Styela clava: one gene and its partner. The protein of the gene in region 2 purifies or fractionates together with the protein of the main gene of each other region. This does not show direct contact. Links are inferred from orthologs where the notes say so. Each region holds a gene or a part of one and is shown on either strand. Other genes may lie near its edges.

The links.
Region 1: the proteins of eukaryotic translation initiation factor 3 subunit F-like (region 2) and eukaryotic translation initiation factor 4E-like purify together in Homo sapiens (affinity purification with mass spectrometry; 3 studies listed by BioGRID and IntAct, with this or other methods). This does not show direct contact. The link is inferred for Styela clava from reciprocal best matches to the Homo sapiens genes EIF3F and EIF4E.

Annotation. Positions count from the first base shown.
Region 1 is NC_135260.1:20,083,931-20,091,266, forward strand, and holds the start of eukaryotic translation initiation factor 4E-like, read right to left. Parts: upstream 3,025-7,336; 5' UTR 2,966-3,024; coding exon 2,829-2,965; intron 2,555-2,828; coding exon 2,459-2,554; intron 1,827-2,458; coding exon 1,763-1,826; intron 829-1,762; coding exon 715-828; intron 244-714; coding exon 104-243; intron 1-103. UniProt on the Homo sapiens protein: Acts in the cytoplasm to initiate and regulate protein synthesis and is required in the nucleus for export of a subset of mRNAs from the nucleus to the cytoplasm which promotes processes such as RNA capping, processing and splicing.
Region 2 is NC_135253.1:21,922,486-21,929,586, forward strand, and holds the start of eukaryotic translation initiation factor 3 subunit F-like, read right to left. Parts: upstream 3,026-7,101; 5' UTR 2,976-3,025; coding exon 2,867-2,975; intron 1,768-2,866; coding exon 1,617-1,767; intron 1,328-1,616; coding exon 1,184-1,327; intron 257-1,183; coding exon 148-256; intron 1-147. Other genes in the region: rRNA 2'-O-methyltransferase fibrillarin-like, read left to right, coding at 3,499-3,511, 4,125-4,286, 5,473-5,630, 7,015-7,101. UniProt on the Homo sapiens protein: Component of the eukaryotic translation initiation factor 3 (eIF-3) complex, which is required for several steps in the initiation of protein synthesis.

The DNA of each region.
Region 1 (7,336 bases), on a different chromosome or scaffold from region 2:
AGACAGTAACAGCATTAGTTGTTTATTTCTGTTTTCACACAACAATATCAAAAACGAACAACAGAAAACACTTCAAAACTTTGAGAAAACTAAAGCCACATACCCTATTTTAAGAATCACATCACGTCTATGGCAATCTGATGTCCATACAGCAATCTTGTCTCCCTTGTTTCTGACTTGAACTACTGCACCATTAACAAAATCTGATTCTGCTTCAAAAGATTCTCCAATCATACAGAGGATCTTGAGAAAAAGATAATTTATCACATCATTATTATGAGTATATCAAAAACTTTCTATTATTAATGAAATGTGCTTAAAAAACCAGGACCACAAAATGTCTTTCAAAAGCAAAAGCAATATGTTAAATTTTGCGGTAGGATAGTTGAGGATTATCATGTCTATAAAAATATAGAGAAAAGATGACAATACAGCATATCATATAGTGAACCACAGCTTTTCATCCGGTTACCAGTCCAAGCAAGGTTTGTAACATAAAATATCAAAAATTTATATAGGATAGATTTTATATTAATTTATATTGGGAATTAGAAATCTGGAGAATAATTACGGTATATGGTTAGGAGCTGTACACTGAAATTTCTGATAGTCCCAGCTCCAGTTCTAACCACCCATACAAAAACCCCAGATAAAAAATCGTAAATGACAATAGGATTTACAACTTATTATACTATATTTACAAGCCAAACTTACAGTTTCAAGCCACATTCTATCTAATTCTTGATATCTCTGTGTTTTGTTCAACTGAAACAACCATCGTCCACCATTTTTATTTGCTTCATCTTCCCACATAGGCTGCACCCCATCCTGCATACAGTGCACATATTGTAGAGATTAGGAAAAATTACAAACAACTTCATGAAATTATTGTGATAAAAATTCATTTTAGAAATTCAGGCTATCAAGAGAAAGAATTACTTATTTGATTTATATTCTGACTTTTTGCACTTCACATCTGTGTTAGACAAATTAGCACTATGCTTTCGAAACACTGGACAGGGCATTACACACTCTCTTACGCCCTGATATGCTGGAGGGCCAGAGATATTCAACCTGAGATACCAATAGGTAGATCCAATGTCAAAAACGCTATAATGCTGTACATTATAATAATAGTAATATGCTGCACAATTTGAAAGCTGGAAACATTGAAAAAAAAAAGGCGCCCCAAAAGTGTGTGAACCAATATGGAGGTATCTAATTTTGTTCACCTATTTTACATCAAGTTGTTAAAGGGACTGACAGCTATGGACTGGGGGGGTATAATCACTTGGCTAACACACACATTCCCCGAACTCATAATAGATAGAGCTAAAATAAGGAAAATTGGAATAAAATTATGGCCTAAACCTGGTACACACACTATGGGAGTACCGAAAAAAAACATAGCATTCCTGCAGGAACCCGCAGTTGAACTAAAAGTACTGCAAGTAATAACAACATAAAACAAAGGTTGAGATAACTTCAAACTTTAACATTAACAACTAACAAGGGAAGTTAGTCAAGCATTAACCAAAACCAACCAACACATAACTAAAGTCGCCCACACATTTAGAATTAGACTATGAGCAATGATAAATGAACATTTTCAGTAAGCATTCAGTTAAACCACAACCCCCAAGAGCCTTGTAATAGGTTCAATGTTTAAAAATGTTCTCAACGTTACAAAAGAGTCACAGCAGGATTACTGAGCAGATATATAGATATCAAAATGATATCAGTAGTATGACAATAACCATACCTTGAATAGACAATAGTCGCAGCCACTTTGCAGCTTACTAGAAAGTTGAATATGATTATAGATTCTGAAAATAGAAAACATTTGTGGTATAAAACAACTGATAACAAATATTATAACCATTTTGTTTTGTATTTTCATGGGGGAATCGCCAATACTGAGTTGTCCCATAAATTATTTAATACAGAATGACAATTCTTGCTCCAGCTATAAGCCTACAGAAGAAGGCAAGAATTACTAGAGCTATACACACTTTGTGTACTTTTACATCAGCTTGCATGTAGTACAGCAGCGAATTAAGATTCTTTTATGTTTATTAGTATGTCTTTACATGAGGTTTTGATCCTCATGAATATGTCTTTAAATGAGAAAAACTACACAAGTTAGTGCATCAATGAAATAAAGAAGGAAATATCAAAGAGAGACATTGCCAATTGATATTTGAGACAGAAAAAAACTATTTTGAATAAATAATCTTACCGGATAAAGGATAAACACTTAATGAAAATATACCAAGTAAAGATTATTCACATACTCAAATTTATTTTTGAAGTCTCTTGATTCAAATATTTCATTATAAAGCTTTGTTTTTGTATCCATAAAATTCTATATTCACCAAATATCAATAAAGTAACGCTGAGTAGGAATTCTTATCACAGAAAAAGTCTTGGCTAGAAAATGTAATAAAACAATACTTACGCCCAAAAATCTTCTACAGTGTCAAATTTAGTTACTAATCTTAAATTATCTTCCCATTTTTTGCTTCTATCATTTTTGAAAAACCAGAGTGCCCATCTAAAAAAACAGAATCATTACAAATGTATACTTGATCAAAGATCATTGTATTGGAAATTTCGTACACTTAACATAATGGTGACTAAAAATGTAATTCACTATTCCAAACAAATTTTAAAATTCTTCAGACTTTCGAATATTTTCTAATCATGCCATGAAAGCACAAAAAAGTCATTGTAGTCTATATTCAATAAGTACGCATACAAATTGTGCATAAAAATTAGGACAAAATATATCATTTGATTTCCTGAATTGTATAAGCAGCACAACATACCTGCTTTGCAGTGGGTGTTTGATAGCAGTTTCATCTTCTACAGTAACTTCTTTTGAATCACCTTTCTCTTGCTCTTTGGTTGCTTCTGGTTTTGCCGGTTCACCAGAGCTTTTAATATCAGCTTTCTTTTCGGACATAGTAAACTAGTTTTCAAAGTTATATTATTTGATGCTATCCTAAAAAATATCAGTTGGTAATCAATGGTGCGTTTTGTAGATTGCGCTTCATTTTAGTTTATTGTGCAGTGCCAGTTGGAGACCCGGACTGTCTCGTAAAGGAGGGGTTCACACTAAATCTTATAATTGATATCTTTCCAAATTCTAAGAATGTCCCTCATTTGGTTCAATAAAACAAACACTCCATGTGTCTCACAAACCAAAGGTGTCTGGCACGCAGCAGATGCGTCATGCTTGTCTCGATAATGATCTAAATTAATCCCAGCCGTCACATGACCAAAATTGCCGTTTTTTGCTCAAAACTCTCGAATGCCACGGTAGATATTTTTTCCATCGGTAAATGGGAATATTTTTTCCCCGAGGAATTCAATGATGACATTTTTAGATTGCCCTTCCTTGTGGTTTTTTGCTCAAATTCAATTTACTATATTTTAACTGATATTGGGGGACAACTATCGAACCATGTGCAGACGTCCCCCAGAGAAGCCGAAGGGGTGTCTAATGATCAGTAAAATGGGTCTCTATGAAACGAGACAATGTCGCTCGATCTGTATAGTGTGGTGTACTGTAGTATGGAGGCTATTCTTGTAATCCAATATTCAGAGAACTGTGCCGAACTAATTTAAGTAATTCGCAATAGTCTAGTACCGTACCGGTACTGAGTACAAGTTTTTCTAGGAAAACTACTTTTAGAAGCTCAAAGCAGTTCTCATCCTACAGTCCTACTGTAGACTACAGACCTTGCTTTGAACAAACTTATTAAAAAATATCTACAGATCAAAGGGATTTTCTTACCTAAAAATGATACAGTATCCATGCATATTAAGGATAAGGATAAGATTTACATATTTATCCTGGAGGAGAGGAAAGCCGATTTGACGGCTTAACCATATAGCGAAGCGAACCACGTCCTCTCGTCCGGTTACCATTCCATGTCGAGTACCGGTATGGGATTAGTTAGGTATTTGTTTTTCCGAAGCATGGACTTGATGGTCGAGGAAGCCGTAACCGACTAGCGGTTAGGTGAACCACCCAACGGTGGCAAGGAGTCCTGCAATCCTCTCGCACATAACCATGAAGCATGGGATTCAAACCTGCGAACACACGCAGAGTAATTAGAGGTGCGTAGCGAGCGTACCGTATTCCTAACGCTTAGCACGATGAGCTACACCGCCTTCTGGCCTTACTGCAGTACTGTATTACGGTAATGTACCATATTACATGACCCAAGTTCAATGACGTACAGGTACTGTAAATGTTTGTTGCGCGACTGCCTGAATTACAGCACAGGTAATCTACCGAATTACAGAATTAATTCAGTAATTACCGGTACCGTACCGTAGCGGCACGGGTACCGGTACCGTATCATTACTGCATTACATGAATTAATTCAGTAATTGTTGGGATAAAATATCGTCTTACTTCATTCTCTCTTCAATCCTCACCAGTTTCAAACAACTAACATTAATAGTTTCCAAAACCTTAAACTTAAAGGCCAGTTAACTCAACCGATTGTAATTAAACTGTGTAATACTGCAATAACAGGCAAAGCATAGAAGTGAATAGAAATAAAACAGCATGTAATGTCACGTGACCCGGTATTCTGGTATCGGTTTTTTCTCGAGAAATGCACTTCTGTCTGGTACATTGCCGTGAGATGTAGCCAAGTAGTAGTAGAAGTAAATCAGTGAATGTTTGCATCGAAGCCTTTACGACATACCTGTGTGAAAGTGCTTTTGCAATTTTTTGTTAAATCGTGAATATATCCTAATAATGTAATAAATTTTATATTCAATAATAACGGTAATCATTCACCTGGCTGATATCTCTTATTGGACACGTTTAGTGGCCATAACGATCGTTTCAATATTATGTTGTTGTTGTTCTTTGACACGTTTTTAAAAAATCGCTTTTCTCTTCGAATACTGGACCAATTGCTTTGAAATTTTCAGTGGTTAAAGAATAATTTCTTCGCTAGAAGGCTATTACTTTTATTTATTTCAAAATTTTGCGTGAATTCTATGAAATTTGATATTTCGTCTAAAATTTTGCTGTATTATTTTTTATCCATGGGAACACGGATTTTAGTCAGTGTCATGACTGGCTGTACGTTTTGATTCTGCAAAATTCTTGCTACTGGAAATTCAGAACTTTTTTGAGGGTACCGGTAGCGTCAAAGGTACCGGTAAAGACTGATTCGCTCTGGTCTAACGTGTCCATATATTTGTGCGTAGCTCTTTTGTTTGAATAACGCTGCTAATCTGGAGAACAAAATCGGGGGTATTTTAGGCACAAAAACACTTATTGACGGGTCTACTGCATTTGCATTATCAAGACGTCATATGACAAACCAGGAGTCACTTGTTCGCTAATTCCGCATCAACATTCAGTATAACAAAACACAGATCAACAGGTGTGATTCGCTTCGGCACTGTTTACTTTACATACACGTAAAATGACCAACGAAGTTCTTGTCGAAATATTCAAAATACTATATCGGGAAATATTCAATGACGTTGGGCCTCACGTTTAACAGATCACAATGCTTGTTGTGATTCACAACAGAATCTAAACGCACATAATGGTACACTTTGGTAAAGTAACATTCGAGAGTATGTTCGCTTTGAACATAATAACGCTCAAATATCAAAACGCTTCGCGCAGTTTTGTGGTACAAATGATTATTTGTTTATTCATATATAGTTTATTTTATTTCTCCCGAGATTATTTCATTACAATTGGGTATTCAATGTTCATGAAAGGCGACCAACAATTGTGATTTTTTTTCACTGTAGGCCTACAACGGAGTCACCAGAATTGTTATTCAGTTATCTCATACTATCAGCCTACCCTCTTCACAAGCTAACACTAAGCTGTTTTCCTGGCAATATAATATTAGAATGTTTAAAGTACAGTATCATATTATCCACTGGCGTCTTTCTTCAAATAGGGAACATTAAACCTCTGGGAAGCTAGCAGCAAAAAACGAAATTAAGACTGACAGAATCGCAGAAAATACCCACGCGTAAAATTTAATGTTCCCAATGATTTGTCTTGTTAAAATATGGTAAACAAGCATAAAAAAGGAAATGCCGGATTGAAGAAAGCAAAGAAAACGGAGGAGGGACGGTTTTAAAATTTCGAATGAAAAATATAATCATAAAAATTGTAAGCAGAAGCAAATGAATTTCTATCAGAAACTCAAAATTATGTCAATATTTATGGCGATTTTGGTGTTTTTCAAAGCCCAGCAGCATGTGGTTCCGGTCAAGAGGGGGTTGATTTTATTATTTTAAATTAAAGATATAGTCATATAGATTATAAGCAAAGTTTAATGAATTTCAACAAAAACTTATAAATTTTTGAATTTTTCGATTGAATTTCGATAATCTGACGCAAAATTGACGTAACTCATATATGGCGATTTTGGTGATTTTCAAAGCCCAGCAGCATGTGTTTCAGGTCAAGAGGGGATTGATTTTATTATTTTAAATTAAAGATAAAGTCATACAAATTGTAAGCAAAGTTTAATGAATTCCAACAAAAACTTGGAATTATGTGAATTTTCCGATTGACTTTTGATAATCTGCCGCAAAATTGACATAACTCATATATGGCGATTTTAGTGATTTTCAAAGCCCAGCAGCATGTGTTTCCGGTCAAGAGGGGGTTGATTTTCTTATTTTGAATTAAAGATATAGTCAAACAAATTGTAAGCAAAGTTTAATGAATTTCAACAAAAACTTGGAATTATGTGAATTTTCCGATTGACTTTTGATAATCTGACGCAAAATTTACATAACTCATATATGGCGATTTTAGTGATTTTCAAAACCCAGCAGCATGTGTTTCCGGTCAAGAGGGGGTTGATTTTATTATTTTAAATTAAAGATAAAGTCATACAAATTGTAAGCAAAGTTTAATGAATTTCAACAAAAACTTGGAATTATGTGAATTTTTCGATTGACTTTTGATAATCTGACGCAAAATTTACATAACTTATATATGGCGATTTTCAAAACCCAGCAGCATGTGGTTCCGGTCAAGAGGGGGTTGATTTTATTATTTTAACTTAAAGATATAGGCATACAGATTGTAAGCAAAGTTTAATGAATTTCAACAAAAACTTTGAATTATGTGAATTTTCCGATTGACTTTTGAAAATCTGACGTAAAATTGACGTAACTCATATATGGCGATTTTGGTGATTTTCAAAACCCAGCAGCATGTGTTTCCGGTCAAGAGGGGGTTGATTTTATTATTTTAAATTAAAGATAAAGTCATACAAATTGTAAGCAAAGTTTAATGAATTCCAACAAAAACTTGGAATTA
Region 2 (7,101 bases):
TGTATCTTGCTTTGAACTAAATTGTACAAATAAAGATCCTATGAAGACATTAATCTCGCCTGGTGAGTACTAGGGTCTTGCAGTTTCAGTAAGTTGATTATTGCAGATGCGTAGATCTGGGTGGTGCAAGGAGTCATAAATACTTACAGTTTGAATTCTGTCGACTCCAACCCTCTCTGCATCGTATTGAAGTAATTTCACATCAACGGGTGTGAACATCATTCCTTGGGTTTTGCCTGGGACTCCAATGGGTGAGCTTGTGTAAAAAGAAAAGATATATATTATTGTATTCCAGGATCACTTAAATTGGCACCTAATTGATATAAAATTGTGTTCAACCTTGATCATACTTTTAGATTTAAACCAGGGTGGTCCAAGGTTGTCAACTCCGAGGGCCACAAAATTATTTTAGCATTATTCGCGGGCCACAAATAGTGCCAAGAATAGGTAAACAGTGCAATACAAAACAAGTACTTGTCAGTATTTGTCTTTTGTCAAGCTAAAATATGCAAAAACCACCAAAAAAAACCTGCATAAGTCTTTTTATATCTACATTTAGTGTAAGATTTCGACGGAAAATGGTACTCCTGTAGTATGTGAATCAAGATGGCGGACACAGGAACGTAGTTTGTGTAACAGGTTGGAGTCAGACCATAATTTCACGTACAAATAGCTAGTCCCAGAACTAGTAATATAACTAAAATATAGAAAATTGGAATAAAATTATGGCCTAACCCTAACCTGGTACACATACCACGTTCCGTTGTCCGCTATTATTGTGACGCATACTACAGGTGTACTGGAAAAAAGTGCCATAACACTAGTCACATCAGTGATGTAACAATATGTTAAAAGATTTTTCTGATTAACTTTATGGCAAAACAACACCAAATGCGATTTTTTGATTACCCTCTGATTCCGGCGCGGGCCACAGATAATGCAGCGGCCGGCCACATGTGGCCCGCGGGCCTGAGTTTGGACAACCCTGATTTAAACAGCTTAAAGTCTCGTCAATCAGCTTTTACTAACCTATAATGAATAAATCTACATAGTTTCAGACTTACAGTAGCTCAAGGCAACTTCACTCAGAACCAAATCTTTTTTACCTCTGAGTGGGAGTGCATTATTACCTTGCCTTGAAAAAATTCTCATGAAATTTTTTTTATTATTCATTACTCCCCACCTTATGTATGCTTTGAATCCAAGTTCTCCGTTAGTCAGTGTTGTATCAACAGTGAGATGAACTGGCATTTTATTTTTACTTTCTTTCGTATAATACTCGTGGATAAGTACAGAGTGTTCGGTAATGTCATGCCCAGTCGCGTACCTGGTGAAGAATAAATAGAAGTGTTTATTGATAAAAAATGTTATTATTATTGGTATCATGCACCGCAGTGTTCACTATTAGCGCACTTTTTTTGCGATATGTGAGTGACACCTTCGCAGTTATTTTTAAAGACTGCGAAATCGTCATTTTTAATGCGTCTGTCGTCTTACCAGATGCCCCGTTGAAAAAAAAATTTAATTTTTATGTTATATAAATATTCTCCTGAGGACATCCTTGAAATCTGAGAAGTGTGCTTGGGAACAAACCAAATGTGGAAAACTGTTCTTACCATCCAACGATCACTTCATTTGTATTGACCTTCCTATGAAGGTCGTACATATTCTTGGCGTACTCCATGTCAAATGCGACTTCATCGTCTGATTCTGTGTGAGGAACACAGAAAGCATTCGTGACTGTAACTGCGTTTGCATCAACAGTACCTGGAAGAAGTTAGGATAAGATTTGATGAGCTCATGTCATGACATATTTTTCTCCAACAAGATTTAACCTAGACATAGGGCAAGGGTAGCGAACCTTTTTCAATGAATAGGTCAAAAATTATATTTTTATCGCGGAACAGAAGAGAGTGGGTCACAGATATTTAAGCAATGTTTGTATCTATAAGAAACTCCTGAACCTAAGCTTCTGTTTGTGTTGGTGAAGTTTTGGGCTTTACTTATGCAGCACTTCTTCTATCAGGGACTTTTTATGACACCCTATTTTATGAAATTAGAGTACGAATTACCAAAAACAAGATACCGTACAAGATTAGGAGTTTGGAAAATTACCATACCGACCCGAAAATTAACAATTTGAATATGAGCGATCGCAGCCCTGACTGCCAACTGACGGTACATTATAATAGTTTAGTTATTGTTGGAATAATTGAAAGCCATTTTCATCAACTTTTATCACTGATATGTTAGCATTTTTTTTATTTTATTCGTTCCTCGGCGGGTCAAGAATAAAACGCGGTGGGTCACTTTGTCACCCGCGGGTAAGTGGTTCGCCATCCCTGACATAGAGAAATCAGCAATGTGATAGGAAATGAGAGCAACATAAAATGCTACTGTCAGTAAAGCCATTTCCTCTACCATCACTTTTATATTTTGATTCTGTAAGTTTTAATGTTTTCCTTTTTCCAACCTTTATTCTGTTCGTTTTTGTTTTGTTTTTATCAATTATTTCTTCGTTTTGTATGCTGATTATGAAGTTAAAATATTCACGATACGAGTGAAAAAAGAAATATGAATACTTTAATATTATAATCGAATTGACGAAGAAGCCATTTGAAGTATTCATAAAATTAATTGAAGCAATTAAAATAAAAATATTTAAAATTGAAAAGTTAAAAGGAGCTCTCTAGATCTCTGCTTGTCCAGTGACTTGTTTATAGGTTGATTTCCTTTTGAAATACTCATGATTGCACAAGAACAAAATCAAACTTGCAGAAAAAAAGCACAAATGAATATTACTAATGAATTAATATTGTCACATAACTAAATTACAATTAAAAAGCACTAATTTTACAATTCTTACCTAAAAGTGTTCCTACTACTCTTTTTGCATCTTCTTTCCTCCTTTCGAAACTGTCAATAATGGTGAATAAAACCACAGGGTGAACGCAGACCCGCCGATTTTCCGACATTTTTATAATATTATAATGTACTAAGAGTTATCTGATGGAAAATATGTAAATTAGCACAATATTAAAATCTTTTAAAATCATAAATAGATAAGATTTGTAAGATTTAACAGGTATTTTTCGAATACTCGAGGCGTGAACTCAAAAACCTGGGATTCGGCTTGTAACTGTATGCAAGTGAATTACTCAGGAAACTATCGGTTGTGGTTCCGTGTTCAACTATACAAAAATCATTTATCTCCAGCTATTGAAAAAATTATATAAAGATAAAACAAACATATAAATATATTTATTATAATTTTATCTATATTTTTAAATATTTAATTCATAACGTACCCTCAAAATTACATCACGAAACATGACGTATATAGCAAAATGATACGACTGAGTGACTCTTACCATTGCACGTGTGTTGTTCACGCTGGTCTCTTGGCTGCATTTGCGCTGTTAAAGTTTCGTTAGCTCTTGGTTTGCATTCGCGTTGTGACTTACTGAACTTTATCAAGGATTTTGTGCTATCTTCTAAATGGGGAGACCTGGTGAGTTATTTGATGTGTTTAATATAAATATAGTATTTTGTATATTAATTATGCTGGCTCAACACTTGTGTGATATTTTCATAAATTGAAGGTAAACCTTACTTAAGGTTTTGTTAGCGTTCCTGATTCTGCGATCAGTTTTATTTATTTGTTTTTATCAATCATTTTTCGCCAGTTATGCTGATTATTCTGTCGATATAAACTTATACCTATGTGGTACGGTAATATAACAGCGCAACCTATAATAATTAAAATTAGCAATATACGGCGCGTTTTATCCAAGATATGGCCGTTCAAAAATTTTGTCCGAAGTTAGGAACTGTCCGAAGTTGGGCGCTTTTACGGTACAGCAGTGATGTGTTGTTTGTTTAAGTAAGCATAATAGAGTAACATCTGAACATTATGTGTCACAAGAATATTTGATAGGTTTCCACTTGTTATTTATGCTCATATGTTTAAGTCGTCTTATTGGCTTTTCGCTCTCTAGGTAAATATGTAAATCCTATCCTTATCAAAAGTACGTTGAATCTTTCAATTTTATTTTGTGCTTCTAAGTTTCTCGGGTTCATCTCATATTTATTGTTTAAAACTTTCTTTTATTCATTTTTTTCAGGTTTTTCACCAAGAGGTGGCGGCAGAGGGGGTTTTAGAGGAGGAGGAAGAGGGGGCGGCAGAGGCGGATTCGGTGGCAGAGGTGGAGGTGGGCGTGGTGGATTTGGCGGAGGTGGGCGTGGCGGATTTGGTGGCCGAGGCGGGGGTAGAGGAGGACCCCGTGGTAAGTTGGACTTACTCTTTATCAATGTTATTTTTACAGGATTTTGGGGTGTAGTTAAGTGAACGCCGCAACTGCTCAAATAACTCCAAACAAAAATGTGATGTGAAATTTTAATGTAATTAACATTAAAGTCTGTGTGACGCATAAAAGATTTGTTTGGCGTTATTAAGCACTCAAAGCATTCATTTTCACATCACATTTTTGTCCAAAGCAAAGACACTTATAGTCACTTGAATATGAAGGATACTCCTCTTTGATCAGAGTTACGAACGACAACAGAAGAATTTTTAAGAGGGAGTTCTGAAATTTCTAATTGCCAAGTTAGACGAGGCGCAGTTCTTACCACTTCATGGCAGCTCCTGCCACGAACGTACCACGCCGTCTCCTGCCATGGTTTTATGGCGCTATTACGGGTATATTTACAAATTCATGTACCATATTTTAGTTTATCATGCGAAATTATATCTACTTAAACCCTAACCCTAACCCCAAATCCATCCAAACTGTATCCATAAGAAAAACATTCCAACTCACCAAATATTTATCACCATCAGCAGATTAGGGGCAGCCCTGCTATTACAGCCGACCTGCCGTGGTTACGGCATTAAAATTGGTGGTATTCGATTTGCTGCCGTAACCACGGCAGCTCGCTATTGGTTTGTGGCAGCTAAAAAGTCAGTCGCCGTGGGTTTGGTCTTAGTGGCCGTGGTTTGGAAATCCCGCCATGGTTTTGCGGCAGCTGTAGACGCCACAAAATACTTGAAACTGCACTTGAGTTAGACAGCTGGCGGGTCCGGCTGGAAGCAGTAATGTGGGTTTTCAAGAGACTTAAATGTCTAAAAAAACGTTTTGAGGATAGGAAAAATTTTCATGTATAACACAGAAAAATCCTTTTTTCACAAAAGTGTGGGGTTCCGACCCCTAAACCCACCTGGGTACACTCCTGCCAAGAACTACGCCCACTCAATCAGAAGTAAAGCAGACTAATTTTTGAGCAAAGTTGCAACCGACCTCTGAAATGCCAAGAGCCACTGGAACTTCTAACGTGAAAGTGCTTGTACTGCTGTTCTCTAGCAAATTTTACTGAAGTCATTATTGCAGCATTTGCTTGATTTAATTTTTCTGTTTGTGCCATGTGATGGCATTTTCTGTGATATTACATTGAAGTTGACTTTATTCATGGCAGGTCGAGGTGGAGGAGGGTTCAGAGGTGGAAGGTCAACGGTTGTTGAACCCCATAAGCATCCAGGAATATTCGTAGCTAGAGGAAAAGATGACGCTTTGTTGACGAAAAATCTTGTACCCGGGAACACCGTCTATGGAGAAAAGAAAGTGGAAGTTGAGGTTCGTGAAATTGAATGTTTTTTTTATGAATATATTCGATTAAATATGATTTATCTTGGGGAACAGTGTTCCCTGTAAGGAAGTTAGGAGTACTATGGTGTTTCGCAGTTAAAAAAAAAATTGCGAAGTTGCTTTGGTCGATTTTAAAGAGGTGATTTTATCATGGGAAAGCCAATAGGTTGATTTAATAATGAGAAAAACTATATCTTTTCAGCCCAAGTCAGGTATGAAAATAGCTCACTGGTTAGTCACTCAAAATACACGACCATGGTGTGTTCTGGATGTTATTACAAGCAGTATCCAATGTAATTCAATGAAATGTAAATTCTCGGTTTTTCTCATTAAAACAAGACCCACAAAAATATCTATAAAATAACTTACGAACTACCATACTTCCGAAAACAAGTAACTGGCTAACTAATTCCATACTCAACATAAACTGGTAACCGGACAAAAGGCCCTGGTTTGGCATATGGTTAAACCATCTTATCGGCTTTTCTCTTTCCCAGGATAAATATGTAAATCCAATTAACTGGAGTGTGTAAACATGTTGATACGTTTGGATGAAGGACCATGATAGTTAAGAGGAAACTTTTTTTAACACATGTTTTATACAGAGCGTCTATACTCTATAACAGGGGTCGGGAACCCATGGCTCGCGAGCCATATATGGCTCTTTTGGTGACGGCATATGGCTCCCAGAAAAATCTAATGTTCCAAGACTAAGCTTACTATTGTTACGAGATTTCAAACTCTTTTATAGCCAAATTTGGCAGGAAATTCCCAGTACGCTTGAGAACGCGCGTCCAGCACATGTCTATGTTGTGTAAGATAATTACCAGACAGGCATTGTGACAAACAAGGGGAATCTGGAACATATATTGTGACTTCACAAAGCGATATAGTTTTAAAAACACTACGGAGATGCCTAAACGAAAAAGGGTGATGAGTATCTTAGATTTCAACTTGTGCTGCATGTGAGCAACCGTTCAAGGCCCGCAGCGACTACATGCAGCATCAGAAATCACATTAAATGTATATTGACATTGTATGTGTTGACTTTTGAGTAAACATTTCAGGCCTGATTAAGTGAAGAAATGTTATATGGCTCGCATGGAAATGCAATTGAAAATATGTATATTTTATGGCTCTCTTGACCAAAAAGGTTCCCGACCCCTGCTCTATAAAGTCCCTTTACAATTTTAATTTTGTTAGGAAATCAGTTCTCAATTCAATTTAACACACCTGTCAGTGCCAAAACAATATATGGCATCGACAAATTCCCTTTGCAGTTTTAAAAAAGGCTATATTGACACTCTGTATATCACTTTCTTGTTTTTTATGGAAGAACGATATTCACTCAACTTCAACTATATAATTACAGAATGATGGCATAAAGATTGAATACAGAGCGTGGAATCCATATCGATCAAAACTTGCTGCAGCAGTTCTAGGAGGAATCGGCCACATT